3 linked regions of the Nothobranchius furzeri genome follow. The protein of the gene in region 1 interacts with the protein of each later gene in a pairwise test. Links are inferred from orthologs where the notes say so. Each region holds a gene or a part of one and is shown in the gene's direction. Other genes may lie near its edges. The genes, in order: RNA binding protein fox-1 homolog 2, hmga1a and psmf1.

Region 1 (3,600 bases):
TTATGTCGAAAGAAAGGTGCATGGTTTCTGTAATCTATCTACGATGTCCTGAAGATAATATTATCTTTTTTAAATTCCATTCCCAACAAACAGGGTAACTCCCCAATTAAATCAGCAGCTGAAAAACACGATTAGAGAGTAACAATTCAACTCAAGCCTTTTTACAACGAAACTATGCTTTATTATTATTATTATTATTATTATTATTATTATTATTATTATTATTCATTTTAATGCAGGATGAACATTTGCTTTAATGTTGTGTTTGTGCTCAGAAATAAGAACAATCTAATCAATATCAGAACACTCAGTACCAGACTTTAGATCCACATTTATAATGAAAAGTGTCTCCCCGTTGACGTGCTGTTCTATCCTTCAGCCACTTGAAGGCGCTAAATGATTCAGAAAGAAAACCCCTTGTAACGGAATACTGTGCGTTACATTTACCCCCATGTCCAACTAAAATATTAAATGAAGTCCAGACAACAGAAGCCAGATTGGGTCTCATCGTAATTATTTATAATTCTTCAATTTTTGAAAAAGCTAATTGTAAAGACCGGTTTGCATATGTATGAAACAATTAAAAATATAAATATTTAATGTACAGTTTACATGTATTTAGGTTGCATTTTAAAGCTACAAAAGTCAAACATATCAATAAAACCTAAATGAATTAAATGTAGAAAATATGACTTTTAATGAATCTCATTTCTTTTCATTTTTGTCATGATAGTAACAAGATTTTATAATACACAGGCTATTTTAATACAACGTGAAGGAATGTGTTGACATTTTTTACTGAACTATGTAAATTGTTGCTGTTTTATTTTCTTTTTTTGGGGGGGGTGAAATGTATAAAAAATTGTTGTTGCTTTTTTCGATTTTTCTGTGTGTTGTTGTTTCTAATTTCCTTTATTTCTTTATAGACTTGAGGAATTTTTCGTCAGGTCTAAAATCGGTTAAACAATGAAGGTTTTCGTTTATTCGACCAAAAGACTGAAATAAGAATAAAGGAGGGAGCGGTGAGGCGGAGGAGGAGGTGGTGGTGGTGGTAGGTGGCGTTGGGAAAAAGGAGGAGAAGGAGACCAGGGAAGAACAGACCTCAGACCAGTCCGTTTCACCTCAACGTCTTCTGTCTAATCCCAGTCTTCGTGGTAAAATCTGACCTCGGATCAGCAACGCCAACACTGGGAGAGTGTGGGACTGAATCCAGAGGAAATCGTGCTCGTCGGTGGTGGCCAGGTCGACACGAGAAGACTCATCCACGAGTAGACCACGGCGGCGAGGGAACGGACAAGACGGGAGCGACTGAAAGGAAAAGCGGATACGGAGGAGTTTTAACCCCGCAACAGCAGCCAGCAGAGCGAGCTCTGGCTCTCCGCTCCACGCAGGAGTAGTGTGACGTTCTGCTCATTTCCAACATTTTCTATTCTTGGCAGCGGGAGTGAGGAGCTCTCCGAGCCACATTTATAAGGAGAGCTAGCGGAATGTAATGCTAGCGAGCTGGCTAACGTTAGCTAGCTAATTAGCCTATCAGGCATTCGCGAGTCGGACGCTTGATTTTATTAAAATAGGTCACTGCTTGGCGACATCTGACTCTGTTAGGGAGAGCCTGCTCTATTGTTGCTCTTTACGGGTTCCTAGTTCGGCCACAATGGTCCTGCTGGCTTAGCCAAAGCCAAGTTAAGACAATAAACAGTGCGAGCTTTTCATATTGATGAAAATCTGTTCAATATTATCCGCGTTGTGTGGGAAAGCCATTGTGAAGCAAACGGAAGAAAGGAGGTGAAAACAAGCTGCAGACTTTTGACTTGTGACCGCCTGTCGTCCAATGTTAATGTCGACCGACGTTGCATCTATAATGCTACCCGTTAATCGGGGAATAATGGACCGCGAAAGGGACATTGATACAGTAGCCGCCGGACCTCATGCGAGCGCGGCCGCGGGTCCAGCGGTTGTCCGGGGGATGAAACGGGGAGACCCGGAGCCCGACGCTCAGACTGCCGCTGCCCTGACCGACCTGGCCGGGGCGGAATGCAAGAGACCACGGATAGACGGGACCGGGAGCGTGGTCGGAGACATCGGACAGGTAGGATTACTCTAAAACCCGTCAGACACATTCGTGTGTGTTATGTTCTCATCTCTTCTGCTCACATTTGCTCCTCAGCATCATCAGGAGGGATGTTTTGACAGGGCCCTAACTCTCTTTCAGCAACAACACAACCCTGTCATCTTTGCAACAAAGAACAAAAACATTGTAACCAGACAGGGGGTTTATAATTTAGAGGCCAGTGAAGGAATATTGCGAAATGTGTCTCGTTGAGACTCGGGCTGTGCAGTGAAGGAGCAGCCCAGACAAAGGTAATATGATCCAGGCTCCATTGCTATGACAGACAGCAGCACAGCAAAGATCAGACATTCATCATGCCTGTCTCATATGAAAAGCTAGTGCTTCCTCCCATCCGGCAAGATTTTTAACACGTTTTCATTCAAATCAGCTAAAAATGATCAAATATTGTCATTTTTAAAAATGGATTTTCCCTAAATCCTGACACATGGCTGCTCCCCCCTTCTCGGTGTGGCTAGGTGTTAAAAGAGAGAGGCAGACAGGGATTGGGGGAGGGGTCACCACAGTGAAAGACAAAGAACAGAGTTTTTTTTTTGTCGCTGGAGGCTGAAGGAGCAAAAGGAGGCTCAGGGGGGCCTTTCTTAACTGCAGGTCTTCGCTGCATTCATGACTCGACAGCTGAGACAGCAAAGCATCTGCAGCCGGTTCTGCCTCTCTGCACTGATCTACTGTCTACAGTAAACCACTAGTTCTCTGGATTTGTTTGCTATTAGTCCCTCCATCTCCTCGGCTCATAAACACGCCGCACAGCTCTTTTTCTTACACCTACACGCATACAGTTTGAACTGGCATCTAATCCAATAATAGAGCAGGACAGTTTAGCTGATGTCTGGTGTTTTAGTTCAGGAAAATGGCTCTGAGAGGAGCGGCCAGACACAGCATGAGGTCACCTGTGTGCAACCGAATCCAGACGAGTTGGTAAAGCTCTATCAAAGAGGGGGCGCGTGGTCGACTGCAACAAGCGGATAGCATCTATGTTAGCATAATAAAGAATCAACCTTTAAGATTGGGGTAGAGGAAAAAGTAGAAGAAAAGCAAAATGATACAGTGCTGTACTTCTGATATCTTCTGCTTGTTTTCTGTTAGATGTTTCAGCAAAGCAAACAATTTCTAGCCTGCCAAGCCGTCCTATATGTGTGAATATATGGTCTGACCACGACCCATAGACAGAGCTCAGTTGTGGGGCGGAATCTACGGTTGTCTTTCAAACTGTCTTCGCACACACCTGATCAGTGCCAGAGCCAGTCAGAGCAACAAACAGAGTGATGTTTTCATCGCCATGGCAACCAGTCAGTAGGGCAGTCTGCCTTACGCCGTTGAAGTAGTTCTATTGAGTCATGTCTCAAAGAAAAACCCAAGTCTATATCGTCCAAAGTTGATGCCACAATTGTTTCAAACGGGCACCGTTCCTTAACCGGCACCATCTTTGTAGTTTTTTTATATCGCAGCTCTTGCGGTAATCCTAACAAACG
Region 2 (3,833 bases), on another chromosome or scaffold:
CTTCAGATTTATTCATTAAAGTTTGTTTTGCTTGTGAACAACATCAATGAGTAAATCACCTTCCAGCTTTTGATGACAGAAGTACAAGTTTTTTTTTAAAGATTAGTTTTAGGTTAAAAAAAGAAGAAAGAAAACCATAATGAAGAAAAACCTTGCTAATTATAGTTAAGATTCAAATATAATTCTGAAATAGCAGCAAAAAAGTACAATTTTTATTTCAAATGACTCATAAAATGTTTAATAAAAATCTATGTTAAACTTTTCATATTAATTGTTGCCTAATACAAGAATAATTTAGGGACCATGTCTGCACATGTAGATGAGCACCGATGTTAACAGAACAGTAAAATTCTTTGAGAAAATCAGCGATGCTTCATAGGGAGTTTACGATTTAATTTCATTCAAACTAAACTTCGGCTAGTAGATTAAAATTAGCTCCACATTTACTGTTTCTCTTAGGGTTTCATACAAAATGAATACACAAATATGTTTTAAAGATTAGCATAATTAAAAAAAAGAAAGGAAAATCAACATAAAGAAAAAAAACTCCTCAATATAATTAAGATTCAAATATAATTCTGAAATAGCTGCTCAAAAATGTCATTTGAATTTTAAATGAAACATAATTGTTTTTTCTTTAATGCACAACAAATAAAAGAAAATTAGATTAAAATTAGCTCCACATGCATTGTTTCCGTTTGGGTTTTGTACAAAATAATATTATTAATATATTTAAATAATATGTATAAATTAAATTACTTTTTAGTCTCGTTATTTAAACATGAGCAAAGGGATTGTTTACATTGGGGGACGTCATCATAGTTCAAGCGCCATGACAGTGGAGGCTATGACACAATGTAGGTTAATTTTATTTTATGAAAAAAGTGGATTGTAAGCAATTTAGTCATTTCGTAAAACCCCTTAGATGCTAAAACAATGACGATTTACCAACTACTTTCACCCATGTCAAGAAAGTGATTCATAAAAATGGAGATTTGTAAGACGTTAGCTCTTATCATTCTATAATCCTTTATTAGACAAATTAACTCACTTTGCTTTCCCCCCAATACTTAGTTATTTGTTTGAATGTATAATTTTGGAGATTATTATACAACTATGATAAATTTATTATATGTATAATATAAAACTTTTGGATATTAATTTGGGACTCTTTCAGAATGAATGTAAACAATGGGAGAAATGTCTTGTTTACATTATAATAACGATATTTTAGAAGCCATTCACAAGCTGTCCGGTAAACATACAGTAAGCAATAATTTTATATAACAACTTAAAGAAATACGTACTGTGACCTTCGACGAGTTGAAAGTAACTAGATAAGTGACGAGATTAAACGTAAACTTCCACAGGTAGCGCGTCTCGACTTGTAAACACCCTGTGACGCAATAATCGGCCTGCGCAGGCGCTGCGCATTTCCCCAAAGTATAATATTTCGACGGGGGGCACGGATAGTCGGAACACCGGCGGTGCTGAGTGGAGGTTGGGCTGTTCTGGTTCTGTTGGTGGCCCTCGTTATCATATCCCCGCCCTCCAGTGTTCCCGCTCTCCTGAGGGCGGTTCTTTAAATTGTCCAAAAACTCCTCCTGTCCGACTCCGGCGCCTTTCATTCCTTTATCTGCGCGAGACGCACGTGCTCTACCGAGGGAAACCTTTGGATTAAACTTCTCACCGTGCTGGTAAAAATAAATATGTTTCATGTACAAAAATGCAGAAAGTTCAGCTTTTCGCTTATTTAAATGGGTTTGTGTGTGTTTTTAAGGCGCGTGAGCTGGGCTTTTTAAATGGGCGGGCTGTCTGACGAATAAAAGCTGTAGCCTATAGATCAGCTTTTTAACCGGGTACGCACCAGCCGGGCTTCAAACGGAAACAAGTCTACCTGAGTTTAGCACGGAGGCGATAGCACCGTGACAAAGGTGAGTGGGGATGCGACCACCGGTTTTACAAACAGCCCGGAGCTCCGGCGGGAAACGGCGGCACGTTGTCAGCCGTCTTTTGTTGCTTCGGTCCGGGCTCGCTCCGCTACACGGAGACCTCGGTTGCTGCTCTCCCCTCCGCCACTTAATTTTTAAAAAGCCATTCAGCTCAAAGCTTGTTGCCTGCAACCAGAAACGAGCCGCGGCCATTGTGGTGTGTGAGTGTCGGTGGATCTCTCCGCGGCCCAGGCGTGCAGACACGCTGCTCTGAGATGGTTCCGTGCGCAGGCCTGGTCTTTGGGCTCCTGCGGGGCCTATAAGCGCGGTCGGTACCGGAGGGAATTGGCTGGTTTTGTGGTCTTTTGCAGGTTAAGCCTGCTGTGATCGGTTTTCTGCGTAAACCTCTTGTGTCGCAGAGCGCAGACGAGACGGAAATAGACCTGGAAACCAGCGCGGATTAATTGGGTTAAACCGTGCGTGGTGCGGTCGGTCATCTTTGGTTTGTTGTTGCGGTCAGTGGGTTTAGTGGCTCACGGGTACACGCTGTGCTCAGTTTTCTGTGTGAACTCGACGCCTCTTGCAGCATCAAGGCCGGCCGGTAGGGTTTATTTAAATCATCATTATCATCATCATCCATTCAGGTTGGAAGAGCAAATATGAGCGACAAGGGGACAGTCTCACCGAAAGAGAAGGAGGCGGCAGAGAAGAGAGGGCGTGGAAGACCCCGCAAATCGCTCGAGGTGAAAACCTCTGACGTAAGTAGTGTCTATTTATTCTGGTATACTAGCTGATTTTCTACCACCCCGTCGTTTTATTATTATTATTATTATTTTTTATTTTTATTTTTGCATGCCATGGGAATAAACTTGATCTTAAATGCATGCAGAACCAGGCCGGTGTGGTGCTGAGCCTCAGGTCCTCTTGTGATCGCTGAGGCTCAGTTAGACGCACATGCAGGTTTGTGCATATCAGAGTCTTGAGACCAGAATAAAATAGCCCAGACTGCAGGAGCATGGCCTTGTGGCCATTTGCCCCCTGCTTTTCCACTGCTGAGGTGTACAGCAAATTCCCAGCATGTCTCACCAGTTTGTAAGCAACCAGTAACCTAACACCTTTAAACTGGTTTTAACCTCCCCCTCATCCTCTTCTGCATTACATAGGAGAGTTGTGGCCCAGAGTGGATCACATAGATGTCACTTGGCCTGCTGTGTATTACTATTGAGTTGCTGGGTTGCTAAGAGCTGTGATGATCAACACATCAGACGAGCAACAGAAGACGAGTGGGCCATGACGCCGGTTTAAACCACGAGTTGTGCATGAATTTGCTGAACTTTCAGATGTTATGGCAGTCCCCTCTGATGTTTACGGTTCAGCCAGATTGCTCAGTCAGTTTTTGTTTTGATTTCAATTGTTTTGATGTGCACTAAAATTGAGCCTTTTTGGGCATCTATTAAAACATTCTTGATATTAACTATAACCTGTTTGATATCCAGGAGCCAAGTGGGTCACCAACTCCAAAGAGGCCCAGAGGGCGACCAAAGGGCAGCAAAAACAAGACTGCTGGCAAGGGCAAGGTAAGTCATTGCTCGTCTTGTTTGAAACTTATATTCCCGTAGTTTGCAACAGCTAACCTCATCCTCTGCTGTTGATATATGTTTATTGGCTGCAGTTCAAGGTGCCACAAATAGCCCGGCCATGACTCCCTATTGGGGGCGGCAAAGTGATTATCAATACCAATAAATCTTGGTTAACTGCTTTATTTGGGGGTGGAAGGGGGGGCCTGATATTTACCCTGTACTTCCTGTCCTCCAGCTTCCTGCAGCTTGTCATGCACTGTGTGGTGCAGGTGCAGAGGCCGCAAGACTGTTTCCAGGCTGACACTAAGCACCCCTCCGCCCC
Region 3 (2,962 bases), on another chromosome or scaffold:
GTATAGTACAGGGAAACGGAGTAATATTCTCCTGTTTGAATTTACCATCAGTCAAACACGGTGCTCAGTTTCTGGGTCGCTGACAATGCTCTAAAAATAAAGATTTGCATTTATAGTAAACTTTTATGATCAGCAACTGAAATTCTCTTTCCCAAAACTAAAGCACAGCGTTCTTTGTCTCATATTCAGATCTTATAATACATTGTCTCAAATTTCTGCCAAATGTGGCTGTTTTTGTTCCAAAGATGCTTAAAGCCATCTCTTCACATCCTGATTTCCCTGGAGTCTGCTGTGGAAATCCCAGCCGGCTGGAACTCTGTTGTTTTACTTCAGTGTTCTGATTAGTTTGTTAGAAAACAACAAAGCTAAGGCTATCTACTGAATATGTGCTAAAAAGTGGTATTAAAAGATCAAAAATTACACTCAACAGCCTTAAAATAAGTTATGTTTATCGCAAGAAAAGCAACAAAAGGTTTTTAAGAAATATTGGCAAATTTTAACCATAAAGGAAGTTATAAATATGCTAGATTTTAAATAGTTTCATGTTTGTTTTATAATTATTTTATTTTTAGGTTAAAGAAACCAGACTGACGTCTGTGCTTTTGTTTCTTTTCAGGCCCAATCCTTTGGATCCTCCGTTTGCAGTTGGAGGAGCAGACCTGGATCCTTTTGGGTGAGTCATATCATCCCTCAGTCCTAATTATTTTAGTGTTCTCTCAGAAAAAAAGGTATTAGCAAGACTCCGAAATAATCTGTATATTTTTAAGGAAAATTTAATGTCTTAACCCTGACTGGGGGCTCGGAGTAGAGCCGCTGCTCCTCTGCATCGATTCGAGCATCCAAGGTGGCCTCCCCCTGGAGGTTTTCCGGGCCCGTCTGGAAAGACCCAGAGCCCACTGTAGGTATTGTATCTATCCTGTCTGGCGTAGGAATATTTTGGGATTCCACAAAGAGAGCTGGGGACAGGAACGTCCAGGCTTCCCATATGGACCTGACGCCCCAGTGACTGGACCTCAGATAAGCGGAACAAGATGGATCCATGGATGGATCTTGGCACTTGACTAATTCAAACTGTATATTAAAATGTTTTTGACAACATTCATAAAGCATTTCTTTACTCACCTTCTAGAATTATGTTGGATTATAGTATCTTCACATACTTTTTCTCTGTCTCATTGTTCTTCTTGCCCGGTGTTCTGTTTTTGTTCATTTATTTCACCTTTAATATAAAACTCTAATCTCTGCTCTTGAAGGATTACTAATCTTTAGAATAAAAGACCAGTTGTTGGAGTTCATGCCGGTATAATCCAATCTCAGGTATAAGCCAATTTCACTCTGTAATTAAAACAGTTAGTTTGCTTTTAAACCGTCTTCTAACATCCATCCGTCATTTTTTGTTCCAATTTTTGTATTTGAGCTCAAAAATAACAAGGAAACAAAATTAATTTTATCCCCCCCAGAACTCGTGGTGGCGGCGGGATGATAGTCGACCCGTTGAGGTCGGGGTATCCTCGCTCCGGCTTTGACCCGTCTAGCGGCATACCAGACATCCTGCCTCCTGGAGCCGTTCCCCCAGGAGCGCGCTTCGACCCGTTTGGACCCATCGGACGTCACAGACCAGGGTGAGACGCAAACGATGCTCAGCAGACGACAACCTTGGGCTGACTTCTGGGTTCGCCCCAGAAAACGGATGCTTCAGATACATTTTTAGTTCTTTCTACAGTTTCTGGACTTTTTGTTCAGATTAAACTAAGAGAAACCAGAAGAGTAATGACAGCTTTCTGACTGCTTTCTCCTCTTTGCCTCGTTTTTAGGCCAGATCCAGACCACATGCCCCCACCTGGCTACGATGACATGTTCATGTAGTGCCCACCCGTGTTTCCTGCTTTTCAACTTTCTGCTTGCTACTGATCTAAAACTGGATCCAGTTCAGAGACCTGAAAGTTTCAATCTGCTCTGAAGAGGAGGGTTATTCTTCTCATTCCTCCACTCACACAACATTAAAACTTTGATTCGACTCACAGAAGAACCCGTTAGTGATGTAAAATATTAAGTCTGATTTTTAAAGAAACTTTAGTAAAAACAAAAAATCAGATTATTGTGGTAAACATGTTCATCTTAGACTCCTAGTTTCTTGTGACCTTCATTATTCTGAATAGCGATCACACTCCGTAACTGCTTTTGAAGGACAAACAGCTCAACATGCTGACAGAACAATATGGCTTTATAATTATTTCCTGCAAAAAGTTCAAATAAAAATGACTTTGAACCCTGTCGTGTTGCTGTTTTAAGCATTTCCTTTTATTTACTTCACACATTAGCAGCTTTCTATCCAAAGAGGGTTTCTCAGCTTTGCTTCTTAGAGGAAAAGTAAAAATGACCTTCAGTCCTAAATGGTCTAAATGGGAAGTTAAGATGAAGAGGTAAACTAAAAGAAGAAGAAATGGATGAAGATTATTATTTTTATTATTATTACATGGCTTTTTAAATTAAAATCACAAGTGCAATAAAATTATTTAAAAACCAACAGTGCTGTCACCAGCATGCTAGTACTTTTATTTATTTCAGGACCATAAAATCAACATTTTATGTTGAGGACGTCCCTTTAAACAAAGAAAGTTGGTGAGGATGACCTGAATGCTTCATCCTCTGAGAAGCATGAACGACCGAGTTAAGAGAAACACACCATAACAACCAGCTCTCAGTATGTTTATTGATCTGGAATCATATGTGAGTCTGTAGTTTCCCTCAGCATCATAATTTCCCATTTTCAGTGTGACCTACTAAACCTGATGAGGTTTCCATCGTCCGTTGCACAAAGGTGGCTGAACTTTTTTCATCTACATAAAACCCAGTGAATATATAAAAAACAAAGATGATTGGTTTAATAATCCAGTCACTGCAAATGTCTAAACTTTTGTGGATTTAAAAATTAACCTTTGTACAGGATTATAAACAGTGG

Evidence for each region.
Region 2: the proteins of RNA binding protein fox-1 homolog 2 (region 1) and hmga1a interact in a two-hybrid assay, tested with the Homo sapiens proteins (2 studies listed by BioGRID and IntAct, with this or other methods). The link is inferred for Nothobranchius furzeri from reciprocal best matches to the Homo sapiens genes RBFOX2 and HMGA1.
Region 3: the proteins of RNA binding protein fox-1 homolog 2 (region 1) and psmf1 interact in a two-hybrid assay, tested with the Homo sapiens proteins (2 studies listed by BioGRID and IntAct). The two-hybrid records come from large-scale screens. The link is inferred for Nothobranchius furzeri from reciprocal best matches to the Homo sapiens genes RBFOX2 and PSMF1.

What each region holds. Positions count from the first base shown.
Region 1 is NC_091752.1:66,556,047-66,559,646, reverse strand, and holds the start of RNA binding protein fox-1 homolog 2, read left to right. Parts: upstream 1-1,058; 5' UTR 1,059-1,831; coding exon 1,832-2,089; intron 2,090-3,600. UniProt on the Homo sapiens protein: RNA-binding protein that regulates alternative splicing events by binding to 5'-UGCAUGU-3' elements. Prevents binding of U2AF2 to the 3'-splice site.
Region 2 is NC_091755.1:54,122,440-54,126,272, forward strand, and holds the start of hmga1a (high mobility group AT-hook 1a), read left to right. Parts: upstream 1-1,488; 5' UTR 1,489-1,697; intron 1,698-1,779; exon of another isoform or gene 1,780-1,934; intron 1,935-2,575; 5' UTR 2,576-2,590; coding exon 2,591-2,689; intron 2,690-3,427; coding exon 3,428-3,508; intron 3,509-3,833. UniProt on the Homo sapiens protein: HMG-I/Y bind preferentially to the minor groove of A+T rich regions in double-stranded DNA. It is suggested that these proteins could function in nucleosome phasing and in the 3'-end processing of mRNA transcripts.
Region 3 is NC_091743.1:68,640,018-68,642,979, reverse strand, and holds the end of psmf1 (proteasome inhibitor PI31 subunit), read left to right. Parts: intron 1-616; coding exon 617-673; intron 674-1,460; coding exon 1,461-1,622; intron 1,623-1,814; coding exon 1,815-1,866; 3' UTR 1,867-2,274; downstream 2,275-2,962. UniProt on the Homo sapiens protein: Plays an important role in control of proteasome function. Inhibits the hydrolysis of protein and peptide substrates by the 20S proteasome. Also inhibits the activation of the proteasome by the proteasome regulatory proteins PA700 and PA28.